Drosophila melanogaster: one gene and its partners. The protein of the gene in region 1 interacts with the protein of each later gene in a pairwise test. Each region holds a gene or a part of one and is shown in the gene's direction. Other genes may lie near its edges.

Region 1 (3,903 bases):
TAAAAAGGATGTCTTAGAGCATGCAAGCTAAAATAAGATGATAGGGTTGCATTTCAACTGTTGTTTTAATGTTTTTAAAAATATGATCTATTTTCAATGATAGTTGGTATATGCCAAGCACTTCTCTTTCGTTCTCTGTCCTGGATTCCTTTCGATTTGCTCAACACTTTTTTTGGCTTCGCATTGATTGCTCCACAATTGCGCAATTTCGCTCACTAAAAGCATTTCAAAGGACCTGTGGAATGGGGCTTCCTCTGCCTGCTGCCATGACGCATAAGCTCCGATAAAAACTGTTGTTCGATAAGCATTTTGTTTGCCATGTGCCTGAAGTTGTTAGGGCGTCTGTGCCCCAGCCCAAGTCACGAACTTCTGTGGTAACGCAGTGGGCTGCTGTGAAGGATTGAAGGCGGAGAAACGCTCGAGGAAGCCATAACGAATCAGTTTTTGATGTGGAACTTTGAAAAGTTCTATGGAAATTGTAAGAAAATTCAGAATGCATGGAAGGAGGCGATTCAATCGCAAGCAACTATATATTGCTTAATGCTAGGGAAACTGAATTAAAACTGAATTTAAGTCCTTTAAACAGAACCATGTAGGTGTCCTGCCACAGAGGAGCTATAGTTCAGACATATATTGCACATTCTCCGCACATTTGCCGCTTGGCAAAAGGTCCTGCAGCTTAGTCACCACACTGCCACACACATGGACACACACACCCACATGTACACATGATATTCATTATGAACGGCTTAAGCGATTTCCCCAGGGCCCAGGAGCTTAGTCCTTCACGCAGCAGACACACTCATGCATATGCACAGATATATTTGGGTTTTTATTTATTTCTTTTTATGAAAGCCCCGCTGAATGGAATCCGATTTGACGAGCAGTCGAAAAAAGGAACTCGTCAGCAAATTGGCAGCTCGAAAAAAGATGCGGTAAGCAGAAAAACCAATTCTCTACCTGATTGTTGGCCACATCAATCAGGATGTCATGTTCTACATGCTGGGGAAAAACATGAACATAATAATTAACGCTCATAATTCGACTCTCCCCAAAAGTGGACAACAATTCGCTTCTTTTGCTAATGAAAATAATCTGTCATCAAAGCCAAAAAGCCACCCCCTATGGTAACAGGTGCTCGTGCTTCCCGCTCTCCTGTTTTGCCTCATCCTGTTGCTTTTTCCAGGACACGCCTCCTGGTACACTATATGATTATATTTGGTTCCCAGCTATTAACTCTGCATAGCTTGTGGGCAGGAAGGGTTGAAAGGTTGGCGGACGGAAATTGCATTTGTGCTGGCCCAAATCAGATAAGATTCACCGGCGACGCCCTCGTCCTTGGCCAGGATATGACATTAAAAGCGCATCAAAGTCGAATGGCGAGCAGAGGCTACGCATCAGCAGCGGAAACTGTTGCCGTAATTACATTCGAGTCGGATAGAAAAAATTCCAAAGACGTATGTTCGGCAATGCGAACGCCTGATACCCTTTTCAGTGAGGAATTTTTGAGGAATCTTATCATTAGTAATCTTGATCTTAATTAATCTTCATCAAGGTATCTAAGTCACGAAATGAAAATGTTAACTTAAAACTCTAAGGTTTGTAGATAGGTTTTCGTATAGTTAAACCTCCTTTCGATGTCCTTTCCTTTGACAATAAGAAGCACATTGCTGGTCATTTGCGCGGTCCTTTAACCCTGGTCGCTTGTGAGCTTAGCTTCCCCCGGAGGCTGAACTTTGATTTGGTCTTTGTTTGCGCCGTTAAATTAAATGTCCTTGCCCAGCCGTTCGGGATCTGTGCTCATCCTGGATGCCCAGGGACAATGCAAGCAATTCCAGTCATTTCCTTAATAGAAATCTTATCTTTTGTGACGCCTTCGCCGTGTGCCTAAGCCGGATATCGCACCTTTGACATCTGCCCATGGCTCCTGACAAAGCAGGTCCATGCTAAGCACTCAAATATCTCTTACTTCCGGTCCGGCTTTTTGGGAGAATATCATTTGGAAAAATTGGGTGTTTATTTATACCAACACTAGCAGACGAAACCATGAAATCCTGTTGTGCCACTCAGACGACGCGTTGTGAGTGTCCAACGGGTCTCAGATTGGGGAAGAAGCCGCAGGCTCCACTCTTCGACATGCTGGGCCCGCATCCAGATGAGGTCATCATGACGATCCTGGACCGCATCCTCTATCTTTCGGGCGCCACGAAAATAATTCCATTGCTGGAGTTGTCGAATGAAGGTCAGTAATCGAAGGAAGTAATATAAATGCGTCCATAGATAAAATATACCCGTAGGATCAGCTTTTAAGAAGGAATCCTGCCCACCACCAGCACCCTGTGCACCAAGCCCTTGCAGTTCCGGAAGCAGCTCGGCTTATCCATCTTCATCGGCCTGGAGTACATGCTGCTCCAAGCCGTCGACTATCTGTTGTTATCCCAAGCCAACGAGATGCTGCGCCAGTCCAAAAGCTCCACTAGTGCCCTGCAGTCCAATGGATACTCCGAAATCTTCCTGCTTCAAGACCGCGAGTCGGCTTAGTTCCGCTGCCTGTTGTCCCCGCCAGCGTACTCCCAGGGTGGACTTCGATCACCCGGCGGAGGATATTCCGTTGAGAAATAAGGCGGGCAGCGCCACGATAAGGGAACAGATAAGCCGATCAATTTCCACCTGCTCGGTGGCCTGTCAACAGCTGAAAGACAAGCTTACATCCCAGATTGCCCAAGGACACAAGGACCAAAAGTGGTTGTGGACCCGTTTGATTCGTGGCAACGATGGGTGCATGGTGTACGAGGTGTACAAGGATTCCGATGTAGACAACTCTCCCTCTAAGATCGGGTCGGAGGCACCCATCATCCTTTTTCTAGTCATGCCGAATGGTTGCATCATGCCCTTTGAGTCTATTTGTGGTCCTTAGGAAGATGGTACTCGTTTTGTATACTTTTTAGCCTGTGGTCAGTTAAAAATAAACTTTCACCCGTACTTTGTATTTTGCTATTTAATTTATACAACAAATACTAAGCTACACGTATGCCTTTTTTTAGCATAAGGAAGACCACTCCAGCACAAACAAACATATAGATGGACAGTATAACAACAGACTCCAGATCACTTCGATGACCCGGGTTCAGGGACATGTTGACCATTCCCGTAAGGAAATTGGAGATCATGAAGTGAGTCAGACCGTTCATGTTCAGACTTTCAACAAAGGTGGGCAAGGATATGTTCTTTTGCCCGTCATCTCTAATTGACTTTTTAGAACAAATATCTGGCCGTACGAGTTTCAGCTCAAAGAAGAACGCGTAGATCACAATTAGGCTTAGGGAGACAGCGAAAATCCAGATTACATAGCCAAAACTAAAAGTTACACGTGCTATGCCCGTTAGAAAAGAACTTATAAAAACCAATTTCCAACAGAGAATGGCCACGAAAAGAATACTCTTTAACTTTCTTATTAGTCCTTGATAAGTCAGGCTATCACGGGAAGTATACCACTTGGCAAAGTAAATGCTGAGCAAATAGAGAGCCACACATCCGTGTAGGGAACTTAAGCCTTCCCGATTGGCACTGAAAAACCCCTCATGGGGTGCAGAAGACATGACGAATTCGGAGAGTCCCAGTTGGAGCACCACTTCGTGAAGGAATAGCAAACCTAAAATCGTAGGAAATTAAAATTTATTGCATTATTATTTTTTCTGGACCTACCTATTGCAAGTGCCAGGAGCTGTTCATCAGAGTTTACCAACAGACTATAGCAGCTGCCCAGCAATTTCGTGAATCCCAGTATGAAGAAGGCATTCAAATGGCGGCCGTATTCCGTCTCATCCTGGTGATAGTCGATCAAAGTGATGACAATGGTGCGAGCAAGCCCTAGGACCAGCAACGGAATAACAGATCTCCTTA
Region 2 (7,622 bases), 1.2 Mb from region 1:
GATGAATGTGCACAATGCCTTGACAGCGCTGGATCCTCCACTTACCTTGGACGACAGAGTTGGTATGTGGCCTTAGGTGCTTTTTATAACTTAAATAATAACCAATATTTCATCCAGTGGCCATTACCTATTGCATCGACTTGGAGGAGCAGCAAGCATTGCCCAAGAACCCTAAAGAATTGGCAGTTAAAGATTCAACTGTCAATAGCGGGAACATTTCAGCAGTTTCGCCCTCAGGATTGGGTGGAAACTATACTCTGGCCGATGTGCCACGACTCGCTGAATATAGTGCCTCCCTGTACGCTTCGAATCCCGCAGAGCACGCTTATTATGTCCAGTACTATACGGAGTACTACACGGCAGATATAAACAAAAATAACAGGGATTCCCATTTGACGGAAGCCAATTCCGGAGCAGCGGTTGCCCTCTCGGCCATCCAGCGCAAGCAGAAGAAGATGAGCAGTATCGAGACCACGATCACAGCGGCGGCCACAGCTGCCGCACAGGCAGCGGCGCAAGTGAAGGCCACATTGGCTGCTCAGGTGGCCAGTGCGCCCAAGGGCAACGATGGAAAGATATACCGTATGTCGCCACTCACTTGAGTATGCTAGCATTTTATTATGTTTCATTATGTTGCAGCCACTCCCGATGTGACGCAGTACCAGTATGATGAGACATCCGGCTACTATTACGACAGTACCACGGGTCTCTACTACAATGCCCACTCGCAGTACTACTATAACAACGAGACGGGCGCGTATCTTTACTGGGATCAGCGCAGGAGCACCTATGTGCTGGCCACGCCCGCCTCCACTCAGGCAGCTCTGCAGGAAGTCCTGGCCGACGCCGAGCAAAAGGGGGAGGAGGAGTCCAAAAAGGCGAAGGAGAAGGAGGGTGGAAACAAGCACGACAAGGTTAAGGTGGCGAAGAAGATCGTCAAGGACATGGAGAAGTGGGCCAAGCAGCTAAACCAGAAAAAGGACTACACAGCTGTGGCCACGCCACAACCAATATTGGCGAACGAGGTAGCCACCACTTCGCGTGGCAATCAAGGGGGATATGCTGATGTGGGATTCTCCATTCTCGAGAAGAAGGAGAGGGGCAAGTTAAACGACTATGCGCCAAACCCGACTGTGGGTCCAATGAACAAGCTTGTCAATGCCTATGGCGGAACATCGGACTCTGAAGAGGACAATGCTGCGAGTTCGCAAAACACACAGAGTTCAGCGGTTGTAAGCGGCGGAGGAGGTGCTGAAGAGTCCGATTACGTGGACTTCCATAAACTGACATGCCTGCTCTGCAAGCGTGCCTTCCAATCGTTGGAAATACTCCAGAAGCACTTGAAGATGTCCACTCTGCACAAGGAGAACCTGGCCAAGCTCAATCAAAACACTAGCAGTAGCATCGAAGAGGCACTAGCGTAAGTGAAATCGCGATGTGTGGTGGAGTATATTATCATTGAATTCATATTCTTTCCCAGCTATCGTGATCGTGCCAAGGAGCGCAGGCTGAAGTACGGCGAGAGCGATCCTCCCCCACCAAATAGGAGCAGGGAGCGATTCGAGCAGGAGATCAAGACACTGCAGTCGCGGCAAAAGCAGTCTACTAGCGCTACTCCAGCCATGCCCATCAGTTCGAGCAACGTGGGCAGTCGACTGCTCCAAAAGATGGGTTGGTCGGAGGGACAGGGACTGGGCAGGAAGAACCAGGGACGCACCCAGATCATAGAGGTAACTGAGCTGACGGCAAGCTATAAAATGAATTAAGAAAATTAAGCATTTTGGGTTCCCTCAGGCGGACGGACGCTCCAATTACGTGGGCTTGGGCAACAAATCGGGACAGATGATACCGGGCAACGACTACAAATCCTATATAAAGAAGATGATGAAGCAGCGCTACGAGAATGCTTGAGAAATTGGTTTTTAGCCGTTTCACATGTTTCATTTCAACTAAAGTCGCCGTTTAATTCAGCTTTTCAACCGAAGCAAAAATTATTTCCATATTATATATGAAGCTTCTTGAGCATTGTTTTCCTAACAGATTGGCGTTTTTTTAAGTCCACGAGCAAGTGTGACCGTTTAGTTAATAGTTTCTGATTAAGCGAATTTAAATCCTTTTTCGAATGTACAAAATAAAATGTAACGGTGTAAAGTTTAAATTTGCTTGGTGTTGGGAAACAACTGTTAGCTGGCACTTGGTAGCCCTGGAGCTATCGGTCAGTTATCGATAACTGGCAGTCAGATACTTCGGGTGAACGGCAAAAAAGAAGACCGAGAATTTTTCTATTCGGGTTTTTTTTTTTGGCCGGATAACTGATTGTTTCTGCCTGAATGCAAAGAGACTTCCAGTTCGGGAACAAGTTTAACCAGCTTCCAATCCTGTTACAGTCGTGGTAACCAAGTAAGATGTGCGCACATAGACGGTTCATCTAATGGCAAAAGGCCAAATCACAAACACTGCATTTAATTACAATCGATTCGCATTAGATATGGATTCTCGATATGGTCACAGCTTCTCGGGCGGCAACGGAAACGGCAGCGAATCGGGCTACAGACGCTACAGTCGCTCCCGATCCCGATCCAGGTAGGTAGTCCTTTGTCCACCTGGAGCCTCTTAGTGGATTACTACCAATTGCGATTATTTCAGGGAACGAAGTCGGGACCGCAATGAGTACAGACGTCGCAACTCCCGTTCGCGCAGTCGGGAGCGGTCCTCACACTATAGAAACGACCGCAGTCCGGATCGCGATCTGTACCGCGACCTGATCAACGAGGATTACGAGGATCAGGGAAACTACAACTCGAGACAGAACCTTGACCAGCGCCACGGCGAGGACAAATACGATCGTCGGCATGCTGATAGCCAGGGTCGCAGGGATCACGATAGCAACTACGACAAGAGTGGCCAGGATATGGATAAGGACCGCGATCACCGCTGGAAAAACTACGATCGCGTTTCGAGAGAGCGCAACCATGATGACTTCGATCGGGGATCGGAGCGCAGCAGGTAAGAAATGATACATATTGCATATTACCCATATCGTGCTCAGTGTTATCACTGAGATTAAGATTAAGCTAAGTTCTATGTTTCCATTCACAAGGCTTCCATAAGAAGGAGGACTCCTCTTTCACTAGTTTAAAAGACCTTTCATTTGCTAATCACTTGTAATAAAAGTCAAAATAATTAGAAATCAACCCATTCAGTAATGTACACTTCCCTTTGTTCGCATAAATGCATACAAATCATCTTATGAAATATTCATGCTGGATGCCTTTAATTACAGTGGATAGTATGCAAACGATGGTTTCAAACGAACCGAACGAAAATTTATTCGACAAAGTGCTCATTGTATGACCTTAAAGAATCGCTTTCCTTTCAGCCGCAGCAATGACCAGCGGCAGTTCAATAATAATGGAAATAGTAACTCCAGCAGCAGTTACAGAGATCGCGAGAAGGAGCGCGATCGAGATAGACGGTGTTCCTCGGACGAGGACAGCGACATGGCCAGCGAATTCAGGCAGAGAGGTGCCTACAACAGTGGCAGCAGCGTTGAGCCCTTGAACAACATAATCCTCTTCGGTCTGAAGAAGCACGTCACGGAAGCAGACGTAATGTTTAAGCGATAAGCAGAACGAATGTAAAATTAACCAAGTAATCCTCCACAGATCATGGGCGAGCTGATCAAGGTCGACCTGGAGCCCACATCCATTCGCGTGATGAGGAAGCAACAAACAGGTGGGTTACATTTCCGTGTGTTACATTCGATTTAAAGTGAAATTGTAGAGAAAGCGTGAGTATTGCGTGCCCAGCAACATGTTCGATGTAGGACTTATAGCAATTTCAATTATACTTGGCTTCGACATCAGCAAAAACATATAGAAAACTACAAACCGAAACAAAAACACAATCCCCAAAAATGACACAATGCTAATGATACAACCAACATTTTTTGACCAAACATTTTCGTATCTACTTCTATCTAAAATTTAGGTGCCTCACGCTGTTTTGCATTTGTCGAGTTTAAAACCGTTGAGGAGGCGACTCGTTGGATGGAGTTAACCCAGGTATCCCTAAAAACCACAAGAATCTTGAATCTTCTCGTATCCGCCAAAATAGAAATGACGGCAAGATCCGATAGCTTGGCATCAACTGTTGAAAAATGTGTGCCTTGAGTTCAATTCTGCTGGTGGGCTGCCTGTCCCTTCCATTTTTCTGTCTTAGATCAGGGAACTGAACTCAAAGGCGGAATCGAATCTTACGTAAAGGAAGCAACCAGCATCTGCGTGATGTCGAAAAACACAGATGCAATCTTGGTGACTGTGTAGTCTGTGAACGATTTGCCTGATCAGCAGTTTCAGTTACTAATTCCAATTTTACCTCTTCTATTTTTCCGTTCAGGGAGTCCTCCAACTGGGCGATCATCGTGTCACCATGCAGTATAGTCACACTCGCATCTCAGACTGGACTTGCATTAAGGTATGCTCCGTTAAGATACAGATTGGCAACAATAATTAGCTTTTTTCGCCATCCTTCAGTGTGGTGCCAGCAACTTTAAGCGCCGCTTCCAATGCTACATGTGCAATGCGTCGCGGGCGGAGAGCGAGAATGCTCTTTACGGAGCCGGCGAGGGCGTCGACGAGATCAGCCAAATCCTCACAAAAAGTATATCCACCATGAGCAATATCTTTCAATGCCGTTTCCTAGCTAATCAGCTAAATACCCCACTAACCTGCCACGCTTTCCCCATGCAGAGATCATGCTTCGCGGCTTGGACGCGCTGACAAACGAGGAGGGCGTGCTAACTGCCCTTCAGCAGCGCCTGCCCGAACTGGCCAAAACAGTCAGCAAGGTGCTGGTCAGTCGCGACGCCCTAACCAATGCATCTCGGGGCATTTGCTACCTCAATTTTGACACACTCATTGATTCTATGAACGTGTTCAACGGGCTGACGGCGTTGGATCCGCCACTCACTCTGGACGACAAAACAGGTAAATTATTACTTCTTAATTATTTCATAATTAAAAAACAAAACTTTAATCCATGCCCTTCAGTTATCGTCACCTACTGCATTGACTCCGAAAACCGTCAAATGATGCCAGCCGAAGGCAACTTTTTTAGAGCAGGTGAAACAGCGATGTCTCCGTCGGCCATTACGGCGGCCTACACTTTGGCGGATGTGCCTCGTCTTGCGGAGTACAGTGCATCCGTGTATGCCTCGAATCCGTTGGAGCATGCTAACTACGTCCAGTACTATACGGATTATTACACGACTGAAATAAGCAAGAACTGCAGAGATCGTCAAGTGACGGAGGCCAACTCCGGCGCTGCCGTTGCTCTCTCGGCCATCCAGCGCAAGCAACGGAAGGTCAGCCAGATGGAGACCACGGTTTCGGTGACAGAGGCGAAGGTCGCCTTCCTTGCCAGGGGTGAAAGTGCTCCCAAGGGGAATGATGGCAAGAAATACGGTAAGTGAGCGCACACTATTCTATCTATGCGCTCCTGTAATGTCGAATATTTCATGCTCAATGGTTAGATACTCCCGATGTGTCCAAGTACCAGTACGACGAGACCTCCGGCTACTACTACGACCACGTTACAGGACTCTACTATGATGCCCACTCGCAGTACTACTACAACAACGAGACGGGCGCGTATTTGTACTGGGATCAGAAGCGGAGCACCTATGTGCTGGCCACACCCGCTTCCACTCAGGCAGCCCTCAAGGAAGTATTAGCCGATGCCGAGAAAAAGGAGGAGGAGGCCAAAAAGGCAAAGGAGAAGGAAAAAGAAAAGGAGGAAGCTGGGGGGAAGCCCGACAAGGTGAAGGTGGCCAAGAAGATCGTCAAGGACATGGAGAAGTGGGCCAAGCAGCTAAACCAAAAAAAGGACTACACAGCAGTGGCAACGCCGCAGCCTATCCTGTCGGATACTGAGGCGGCCACCACCTCCCGTGCTTCCCAAGGGGCATATGCTGATGTGGGATTCTCAATCCTTGAGAAGAAGGAGCTTGGCAAGCTCAACGACTATGTACCGGAGGCAGGACCTCCAGCGATAAGCAAATTGGTTGGTGCTTATGGAGGACCTTCTGACTCGGAAGATGATAATAGTGCCAATCAGAAAGCACTTGAAGCTAGCGTTGGGACTAAACGAGCCATTAGCGATGAATCTGACTACGTGGACTTCCAAAAACTTACTTGCCTGCTCTGCATGCGTGCCTTCCAATCGCTGGACATCTTGCAGAAGCATTTGAAAATGTCGAATCTACACAAGGAGAATCTGGACAAGCTTAAACGGAATCCCGCAGTTGAGGCTGGCACGGATGAGGGTCTATCGTAAGTGGGAATATGCTGCTAGAATGGAGATAAACTCACTAATTTACTTACCCGTACTTAGCTATCGTGATCGTGCCAAGGAACGCAGGCTGAAGTACGGTGAGAGCGATCCTCCTCCACCAAATAGGAGCCGGGAGCGTTTCGAGCAAGAGATAAAGACTTTGCAGTCGCGCCAGAAGGATTCTTTTGGCGCCACTGCAGCCATGCCCATCAGTTCGACCAACGTGGGCAGCCGCCTGATGCAGAAGATGGGCTGGTCGGAGGGCCAGGGACTGGGCAAAAAGAACCAGGGACGCACCGAGATCATAGAGGTAGGAGTCGACGAGGGCGACGAATGGCAAAATATGGATAATTCAATGTCAATGTGTATCCACAGGCTGATGGTCGTTCTAACAACGTGGGGCTGGGCAACAACACTGGCCATATGGCGCCTGGGAACGACTACAAATCCTACATCAAAAAGATGATGAAGCAGCGTTATGAGAACGCCTGAGACTCTTCTTAAAGTGTATGATTTTATTCCGCTTGAATATAGGGGCATTTAAGCATTGTTGTTTACCTCGATTACACTTCCTCCACCTTGTCGCGTTCATTTAGCATTAGTTGCGAAGTTCAAATTGTAAATAGTTCGTAAATACAGTCTCAAATTAGGTTTAAATTTAAATTGTAAATGCTTTAAGTATGGAATTGTGCAAGGGAATCTAAATCTCGTCCATGTAGCCATGCTCATAGGCGTGACGAACGGTCTTGAAGATCTCCTGGTTCGCCTCATCGCCAGCGATGTCCAAGGACAACTGGTGGAAGGCGGGGCCGTGCATATCCGTCTCGAAGAGGCGGGACAACTCGGCGCAATCCTTCTCGGTGCCGAGCAGCCAGGGAAGGAAGTGCATGCATACCATTGGTCCGTAGAAGGCATATCGTTTGAAGTGGGCATTGAAGCGTTCGAAGCTGTATTCCTGTAGCAACTGGTCCACCCGATCGTCGGTCAACTCGTTCCGGTTTCGGCGCAGAACCAGTTCCAACATTTCGATCATGCTTCGATGGTACTTGCGCAACAAGTCGGCGTAGATCTCCTTCCTTCCTTCGGATGGCGTGTTCATGTACATAAAGAAGCTCAGGTCAATGGCCGTAGTGCTGAAGCGCAGCTCCTGGAAATCGATGGCTTTGATAGCGTCCACCTTATCTTCAGCGCCGTAGTGGAACAGCACGTTGTTCCTGTTGTAGTCGCCGTGCAGAAAGGTGGCAAAGTGGCTGTCCGGTTGATCTTCGGCAAAGGAGCTGGTGCGGATT
Region 3 (3,681 bases), on another chromosome or scaffold:
GCTGGAGCTGGTGCGCAAATGTGATGCGGGGCGACAGCTGAAGCTCCTACAGCTGACGGATCGCCTGCCGAGCATTCAGGATGTGCTGCGCGCCTATCAGAAGCTGAGGCGCCTATGCACGCCGGAAACGCCGGAGAAGTTTATGCTGCAGGATGACAAGTACCTGGGACTACTCGAAAAGACCAACTGGCTGTTCTATGTGTCGTTGTGCCTACGCTATGCTAGTGAAGCGTCTGCCACGCTGCGCAGCGGCGTTACCTGTGTCCTCCAGGAGTCGAATGGCCGTGATCTCTGCTGTGTGATTAGCAGTCTGGCGCAGCTATTGCTCGATCCGCATTTCCGTACTATCGATGGCTTCCAATCGCTGGTGCAGAAGGAGTGGGTGGCCCTGGAGCATCCGTTTCAGCGACGCCTGGGTCATGTCTATCCTGCCCAGCCGGCCGGCGGTAATGCCGAACTATTCGACAGCGAACAGAGTCCAGTGTTTCTGCTCTTCCTCGATTGCGTGTGGCAGCTGTTGCAGCAGTTCCCCGACGAGTTCGAGTTCACGCAGACATACCTGACCACGCTGTGGGACTCGTGCTTCATGCCCATCTTCGATACCTTCCAGTTCGATACGCAGGCCCAGCGACTGAAGGCGGTGACCGACTCGCAGCTCGTCCTGCGTCCCGTTTGGGATTGGGGCGAGCAGTTCTCGGACAAGGACAAAATGTTCTTTAGCAATCCGCTGTACCAGCGCCAAAGGGGCGATCTTGGCGCCCAGGCGGCTGCCGTGGCGCATCGCAGATCCCTGGCGGTGGGTAGTAAGGGAGCGCATGGCGCCGCTAGTGGTGTCACACCCTCGCGCAACACCATCAATCCGCAGCTCTTTGCGACCGCTTCGTCAGTGCCGCAGGATCGTTACCTGCAGCCGGCACATCGCATCTTCGATCTGCAGGTGTGGGATCAGTGCTACTACCGCTGGCTGCCCATTTTGGATATACGCGGCGGCGGCCAGCCGCAGGTGGATCTCTATCATCGCCTGCTGCTGAGCAACATAGCAAAGGTACAGCGCTGCCTGGATTATCAAAACTTTGACGATCTACCCGATGCGTATTACGAGTTCGCCGGCGAATCGCGTCCCAATCAGCACAAGGACGAGAAGCCCGACAAGGAGGACGAGGCCGAGTTCGTCGACGGTGTGGAGCGGCGCAGGAAGCCGACGGCGAAGGCCGCCACACCCACTAGCGGACTCACATCGGTTACCGGCAATCTGCAGCTATCGACCCTGTCGTCGTTCTTTCCCTTCGGGAATCCCATCGCCGGAGATGCACCGCTCCAGCTGTACGACATTCTGAGCAGCAGCAGCGAGCTGCTGATGGAGACCTCATCCTTTCTGGACAAGTCGTCCATTGTCTGATCCGCACACAAATCGGAGACACCACCACACACACACTCGTTCCACTTGTTTATTCAAAACGCTGAACTTTCGAAGTATTACACAAAAAACAGAATATAATTTGAGAAGAAGAAGAAAAAACACACACACACACACACACACAGAGGTGCAATTTCCTCACATATACATGGCATATCGCTTTTAACACTTTTGATTATTGTTAACTAATAAGCAAGTTATGGTATAAGTTTTTTTTTATTTCGTTTTACTACCACCAAACTGCATTGCATCGCTGCATTATAAAATTAAACGTAAATAATACGATTAACAAACGTAACGACAAGCAATTGATGTAAAACGAATTCAAAACACAAATCCGCAAAAACGAAAACGTACGAAAACACCAATTAAATCAATATGTATTATATTGTATGTAACTAAATATATGAAAGACTATTGATCGATATGTATATTTAAATAAATCAAATGTGTAAAATCAACAAAATGTGTTCTGATTGCGGCAACTTTTGAGAATTAAACGAATTAGGAACTATGAATATATATGGGTGAGTCAGCAAAAAAAATCGCATTAATATGTAAGCTTATGATTTTAAATTGAAGTGGATAGTTGGATAATTGAAAAGATAAAATAATTGACTAACAGTTTGGCTTTCGAAACGATTTGTGTTTGCTATTCTGAATAATTTTGGGTTCTTAATGTAACTCAATAAAAAGTTTAAGATTTTATAATTTAAAAAAAAGGAGCCATATAAGGGTTAACATAATTACAAGCTTCGATAAATAACTGTTTAATTCCCGATTTTTATTTATGATTTCATTTTATAGTTCGCTTGGACTTTCAGTTATAATCATAGCACATAGAAGTTATAATGAATTTATAAATATGCTATTATTATAATTTATTATTGGCACGAGAAACTAGATTAAACACTCAGCGAAATGGGTAATACAAATACGTTCAAGGACATAAAGGATTACACAATGAAAATCATTATAATTACAGAACGGAATCATGAATCTCAAAATAAGAAGCTATCAACAAGAAATGATAAATATTTGGACTTAAAGCATGAAATAATGGAAGTTAAAGTTGAGAATCTGGCAAACAACCGCATTTTAAAAGCAGAAAAGGATGCAAAGACTGCAGATAAACTCGACAATTCAGAATATTTAAAGATTAATCAGAAAATGCTTCTAAATGAGAACCAAGATATTGAGATGGAAAATCAGGTACCAAAGGATCTGGAAAAGCAAACTGATGAGTATCCCAATGAAGAGCAGTACGTCGGGAATCAGTTGCCACTTAGAAATCCCGCTCAATCGACTCCAACTCGTCCAAGTCGCGTGATTCCACCAATGCCATCGGAGGAAACGATGCGCCACTCCATAGCCGACAACCTGATGGAGATCCTGGTGAATATGACTAATCCGCAGCATCGACAACAGTGCTTTTCCCTCTTGCAGGTGGACGATGCTCTGCAGGCACGCAGTCGAATCCTATGCCTCCTGCAGCAAATCGACGAGAGGCGCAGGACGCGCAACTGAATTCATCCTATAGAATGCTTGCTTACATTATAATGGTACTTTTACAAAGCCTGCTATATCTTAATCACAATCATAAATGAGCGCCTGCGATTATATGCCATTGGCTGCCATTTAAATCACACGGAACAACGCACACCATTGTCGTTATGAGTTAAACATTTAATAATAAAAACGTTGCGTGACTAACAGATTTAGGAAGGGAATTTGATCTTTGGGCGCTCTTTTTGAATCATCACTTAGCCTTGTCGTCCTGCTGCTTAGCCTCCTCCGCTTTCAGCAGCTCCGAAATGATGCCCGCCTTCTTGAGCTCCTCGATGAGATCGCCGCTCTGGTGCATCTGCAGCAGGATGTCGCAACCGCCGACAAATTCGCCATTGATGAACACCTGCGGAATGGTCGGCCAGTCGGTGTAGTCCTTGACACCTGCACGCAAGCAATAAGGTTTAACGCTGGCACGCTAATGCATATGTGGAGCGTACTCACCCTGTCGCAGGGACTCGTTTTGCAGCACATCGTGGGCATCGTACTGGACACCGTGCATCCGCATAATCTGCACCACCGCATTGCTGAAGCCGCAGCGTGGCGCCTGTGGGTTGCCCTTCATGAAGACGACCACCTTGTTGGTGCGCACCAGCTTGTCCATTGTCGCCTTGTCCACTGCCGCGCCGGTGGCCGCATCCGCCGCAAGAAAGCGGGTGAGCAGGGATTGCGGTGCTGTGGTGGCGAGAATCTGGTAT
Region 4 (5,515 bases), about 14 Mb from region 1:
ATGGCGGTGATCCAGAACTCCAGGCATTCACGCTCTTGTCGCTGCTCCAGGTACTCGGTGAAGTAGAACAAAGCCAGTTCGCTGTTCAAGACATCGTAGATATTTACAGAGCCGCCTTCGATCAACTCCAGACAGTATGTAGAATAGTAGCCGCTCTGTAGAAATCCCTGCACATGATCCCGCTCCAGCTGCTCCAGCACAAACTCTCTAGCTTCGTCAAAGCAGCTGGCCGGAATTGGTTTGCTACACTCGGACTTATCCCTTCCGCAAAGTAGCAGCGATATATGCGCAAGGATGACGATGGGCAGCTCCACTTGCAGGCTGGCGTTCACTATCAGATACTTTTGGTATATGGCAATGGCATCGCTGATGCTGGCCCGCGATAGCTCGGCGTTCAGCACACTATCCGTTCCAGACTTTTGCCTATTGAGCTGCTTGTTGGTCTCCGCATAGATGCGGCTCTTCTCGTCGTCTGTGAGGGGTTTGCGCATTGACAGATCGCACAGCGTCTTCAATTCAGGTACATCTTTGTCATCTTTGTGCGGAGAAGATTGTTCTATTGCCTTGCGAGGAGGTTCCTCTGGTTCCTCCTTCTCTTGCGTCAGAGCCGCCCGCTTAAAGTTCTCAATGTCCAAGTAGAATTTGATCAGCGGCAGGGCCTGTCGGGTGTCCAGATACTGAACAAAGTAGCTCAGGCAGTTCGGATCGTTGACGATGGAAGCGAGATTCATGGAGAGGCGTGAGTTGTAGGTGAAAATGTCTGGGAAGAAAGCAAAAGGTATAGTTATATAGTAAAGCATAAATGCCAATTGCCATATGTGAATGAGTTTCAAGATTACAACAATTACAACTATTATGTAGACACACTTTTAAGGATTTTCGATACGTGGAATCGCTCCTTATAAGCATTAACAGTGTTATCTACGTTTTATCATGGAAAGTCGAGAATAACGCTGCGATTTGCCAATCATTTCAGTTTCAAAGGTGCCAACGTGATGAGCAATTGAACAATGGGCAATGAGGTAATTACCATCGTTGCTGGCGAGACTGATGCCATCGGAGGGGGCTCCTCCACCACCACCACCACCTCCTCCTCCTCCTCCTCCTCCTGTGGTTCCCACGCCGCCCTCCTCCTCCGCTTCTAGGAACACTTCGTCGCAGAAACTGGTTGTGGAGCGCAGCGAGTGTCGTTTGTGAGCGTTGGCTGCATCACCAGCTCCAGCAACGTCGTTGGTGTCCACATCATACGCTGGCATTTGGCCACAAATGGCATCCGTGGCATCTTGGCTGCTGCGACGTCGGCCTAAATAAAAATCAACAAAAAACCAAATATAATTGGTGTCAACAGAAGAGGAAGAGGGGTGAAGAAGAAACGGGGAAGGGGAGTTGGGTGAAAACAGCAGCGAAATTTCTTTAATTTCTTTAACTCACTGGCGTGCCTCTTGATGTAATTTAACATCTTTACATTCTCCGGCTTTCGGTTGATTCGAGAAGTGCTTCTTGTGCTTCAAAATGCCGATTAACTGGAGATTCGATGAAATAATTTAATGCAGTGCGACGGTAAATATTATGAAAATGGTTTTAGGCGATAGGGTTTTTTTTGCGACCTAATCTTTTTAATTTTTTTTCGCTGGCTGGCCACTCTGTTTGCACAGTTTTGGGTTGAGTCTTTGCTAAAAGGATTCGAAACCAATCTTAACGAACAGCGAATTCAAGCGGCGAAAAGCGAACTCACAGAAACACAGCGAATATTAACGGCGAAAAGCGAATTCATAATACTGGGCGAATTTTCGCTGCGGAAAGAAAATTCATAATACCGGTTGGCTAATAGCGGCGAAAACATAATTCACAATATTCACAAAGAAAATGTAGAAATTGCGCTTATTTCGATGTTTAAATATTGTAATACTTAAATATTTGGAGTTCAGTTTTAGTTTAAAATTAATAAAGTTATGAAATTTTTTGGGACAACGCGGTCTTCAATTTTTGCAAATTTACCCATTCAGATGGCGTATTGGTGGATATAAACATTAAGCAGATAGGTGGCGCCTTAGCAAACGAAAATTCAGTGTTGTGAAGCGCAAAAATACGAAATATCGCAGTGGCATCAATGTAATCGATAGTGCCATCAATGTATTTCCCTATGTGCGATTTTTTCCTTGGCAGCCGTGGTCACTCTGCTGTTTATCGCCGAATTGAACGCACGTAGCGGACCGGACGGATATCGCATCTTCCGATCGGAAAAATCGTACAGTGCAGCCAATTCGCCGTCTACAGAAATCTATTAGCGCGCGTGTGTTGGTGCCAGTGCGGTGGCAAATTAAAACAAAAAACATCTGCGAATTTGAATACGCAAATCTCATGCTCACTAAGAGCGCAAAAGTCATAGAGTGCAGAATAGTGAATTGAAGAACTTTTGGACGCGCTAAGAGTCGCTCTCCATCCCCATCTCTCTCTCTCTCTCTTGTGTGTGCAGTGCTAGTGTGTGCGAGTGTGAGTGAGACGGGCAAACAATTTGCCGCTAAATACAAAAAGCAGCTGAGACCAGCTGACGCATGTGTATGTTCGAAATACAATAAAGTTAACAGGCTATAAATAAATTGCAAATGTTTATGTAGCCGTCAAGCAGCAGCAGTAGCAGCGCAACAACAAAAACCACGTGGCACAGACATTTTGGCCACGATAGTAAGCAAATACACAAACACGATTAAACATGTCCGCCGTACCGGTTGCCATCAAAACGGAGGAAGTTATTCTAGAGCACGCCGAATACAACAGCGCCGAGGAATTGGATGAGGAATTGCAGTAAGTTTGCATCTTAATCGAAATCTCTTTTGTTTCAAATAAAAACAAGGCGAGTCAACAGCTTGGCTTGCATTTTTATCACGCAAATTATTGATTATTTTTACTACTTTGCTAGTGCTCTCCCTTTTCTCCGTCACCGTATCACTCGCGCTCTCTCTAATTCTCTCGTTTGCTTTTTGCCGCCGTTTTGCCGACAAAACAAATACGGCACAAAAACACCACCACCATTAAGACCCATCTCTCACTCACACACATGCAAGCTAGCGTGTGTCGCATTCCATTCCATTTCCATGCCGTTTTCTTGTTGCTGGAATAAATGTGCTCCTTTTTTGTCTCGTCGTTCGTGTCTGTGCCCCCTTCTCAACATCCTCTCTTTTTTTCCGCCGCTCTCGTCCAGCGTTTGTGTTGTTGCTGTTTTTACGCTCTGCCTTTCGGCGTCCATATTGTAAAACGGCTGTTTTGTCAATTTGTCAGCAGTGTCGGCAGACGGGCAACAGTGATGGCACAAACATGAGTCAAGGGTACAGCTGTTAGAAACGATGATTTTTTATTTGCTTTAACTTTAGAAGTGTAGAGTTCAGTAGAAGCCACAATATTAAAAATACATTTTTGGTTTTTCTATACTATTATGGAGGTGTATTTTTAGTTTCTCAAATATTTGTACCTTTGATACATATGTATGATACATAAATGACTTTAAGCGATCTTTTGAAATAATTTTGTATGTTTTTATTTTCACCATTTTGCTTTTTCCTAAAATATTTGGTTTAATTTGTTACAGCTGCTTTTGCTATTTTCTGTGTTCGTCGATCGCGTTTCGCTCTCAGCTCCTCTCTCTCTTCTCAGGCTCTTTCCTATTCTGCTGCTCTTGCTCTAGCTCATATGTTCAAATTAATGGAGGTAGAAAACAGCTGCGCACCCGCACTCCCTCTCTCTTTCTCGCCTCCTCGCTTATCGTGCGTTGCCTAATCAACATTTCTATTTCTTCTTTCGCGTTCATAGTTGAAATGAAATCAGCTGTACCGGTAAATTCGTATCATCAGATGATTTTGCTTCGACTTTATTTACATGCTTCTCCCTTTTCCTTTGCTCTCTTTGCTTATCTCTTTTTACACCGAAAGCAAAATGGATCTAATTTAAAGATCAGTTTGCTGAGTTTAATTAACAATTTGAAAGAAATGACACAATACGAGTTCATTTTCTTACCATTATCCACATCGATTTAGATATGTATCTCTAATATTCCTTTCAGATAAATGGGGCTCCATTTTTCTCTCTGTGTACTCAAGGAATGAGTGTACCGAGAAATGTCGAAAATAAGTTGACTAAGAAATAAATGTATTATTTTAATTTCTTATTTTCCCTCTTACTTTTCTTTCGATCGTTTTCCTTTCGCAAATATGTCACAGGTTTTCAGAGCGAAAGTTTCTTTTTCCCTTGCCGGCTTATCAGAATCATATGGTAGCGCTTTTCGCTTTTCACACGTCATAAGCGGCGCCTTTTCTTATCGCACGAGCATATGTTTTTGCACAACGCCGAAGAGAATCGGAAATATATACATATGTATGCGATTGCACACTTATACTAATCCGTTTCAGCTGGCTTTTCAAGACTTTTATTTCAGCTTGCGTATATACCGGGTAAATAAATATTTTAAACTCGGCAAAATGCCACATGTTTTTGCTGCTGCATTAAAACCAGTACTTCCTCTGTGTTTTATGGATCTATTTAGTATTTCGAAATAGTTGGTAGGAAAATACAAGCATTTCGTAAACGCACGTATAGGGACTATTCAAATACAAATAAAACCAATTGTTATGCATACATTAAGTTAAACCAGTAGACGTAATTAAAATACGATTATATTTTATGAAAATCTAAAAAGCTGTTCACAAAACTTCAAGGCTACATTTCTATTTTAAACCAATCAATTGCAGAATAGATAGATAACCGTTAAAACTTCGAAGGTGGCACGGTTATTTTTGCCACCAGTGTGGACGGTATAACAACTGCGTTTTAGCAGCTGCTGTCTGTTTGTTGTTGGTGCTAAAATAAAAGAGCGTGCCTTGGCTAAAAGTCTCCACCTCTATCTTTCTCTCTCTCTCCCTCTCTCAATTCCATCCGTTGCACATTTGCGAATACTACGAAAGCATGTGTTGTGGCTGCTATTGTTGTTGGCACGGTTCTGTTTGTGTGGCGTCATTTCCGTTTTTACCCCACTCGACTGGAAAAGAGGAGCAGAGAGTGCGAGAGTGAAACAGAGCGTCCTCAACTCTTTCTTTTTCCGTCTCGCTCTCACTGCAGTTTTATAAGAGCCGCTCCCCAGTTGATCGAAGTACATAAGCAGCGGGAGAGAAAGAGAGCCCCATTTGAGTTGCACTCAAAGCCAAAAGCTTGTTGAGCGCGACAGTGGGAGAGAGAAGAGCGCGCAAAAGTACAGATGCCGCCACACACACATTTTTTACTACCACACACGTTTCATTGAAAAAACATATACACAAAAGCTAAGGCCGTAAACCCACTGCAAATTTGCGAAAAAAAAACCGAAATGAAATGAAAACTAATACCAACACATGGCTTAAAATCTGCTGCGCAAATTTTTGGGCGATGGCTCTGTGTGTTTCGTTCCGTATGCCAAAACGTTTCGCTTGTTTTCGTTTCATTTCCACACCGCTTTTTTTTTTTTTTTTTTGCTTTTTCCCATGCGGCA

What was found.
Region 2: the proteins of CG3557 (region 1) and CG4896 interact in a two-hybrid assay, tested with the Drosophila melanogaster proteins (one large-scale study listed by BioGRID).
Region 3: the proteins of CG3557 (region 1) and CG14410 interact in a two-hybrid assay, tested with the Drosophila melanogaster proteins (one large-scale study listed by BioGRID).
Region 4: the proteins of CG3557 (region 1) and crp interact in a two-hybrid assay, tested with the Drosophila melanogaster proteins (one large-scale study listed by BioGRID).

Annotation. Positions count from the first base shown.
Region 1 is NT_033779.5:2,383,846-2,387,748, reverse strand, and holds CG3557 (uncharacterized protein), read left to right. Parts: upstream 1-1,956; 5' UTR 1,957-2,046; coding exon 2,047-2,242; intron 2,243-2,297; coding exon 2,298-2,917; 3' UTR 2,918-2,988; downstream 2,989-3,903. Other genes in the region: PIG-Wa (phosphatidylinositol glycan anchor biosynthesis class W a), read right to left, coding at 3,018-3,652, 3,706-3,903.
Region 2 is NT_033779.5:1,175,462-1,183,083, forward strand, and holds CG4896 (uncharacterized protein), read left to right. Parts: upstream 1-2,228; 5' UTR 2,229-2,400; exon of another isoform or gene 2,401-2,486; 5' UTR 2,487-2,488; coding exon 2,489-2,583; intron 2,584-2,646; coding exon 2,647-3,006; intron 3,007-3,379; coding exon 3,380-3,608; intron 3,609-3,665; coding exon 3,666-3,735; coding exon of another isoform or gene 3,736-3,770; exon of another isoform or gene 3,771-3,990; coding exon 3,991-4,064; exon of another isoform or gene 4,065-4,398; coding exon 4,399-4,476; intron 4,477-4,535; coding exon 4,536-4,662; exon of another isoform or gene 4,663-4,751; coding exon 4,752-4,988; intron 4,989-5,051; coding exon 5,052-5,465; intron 5,466-5,533; coding exon 5,534-6,332; intron 6,333-6,393; coding exon 6,394-6,643; intron 6,644-6,708; coding exon 6,709-6,825; 3' UTR 6,826-6,993; downstream 6,994-7,622. Other genes in the region: CG4887 (uncharacterized protein), read left to right, coding at 1-62, 118-582, 640-1,420, 1,481-1,730, 1,795-1,911; CG5126 (uncharacterized protein), read right to left, coding at 7,034-7,622.
Region 3 is NC_004354.4:14,834,387-14,838,067, forward strand, and holds CG14410 (uncharacterized protein), read left to right. Parts: upstream 1-2,338; coding exon 2,339-2,944; downstream 2,945-3,681. Other genes in the region: CG14411 (uncharacterized protein), read left to right, coding at 1-1,399; Grx5 (glutaredoxin 5), read right to left, coding at 3,177-3,367, 3,428-3,681.
Region 4 is NT_033779.5:16,284,388-16,289,902, reverse strand, and holds the start of crp (cropped), read left to right. Parts: upstream 1-2,172; 5' UTR 2,173-2,713; coding exon 2,714-2,805; intron 2,806-5,515. Other genes in the region: pkaap, read right to left, coding at 1-760, 1,031-1,303, 1,432-1,459.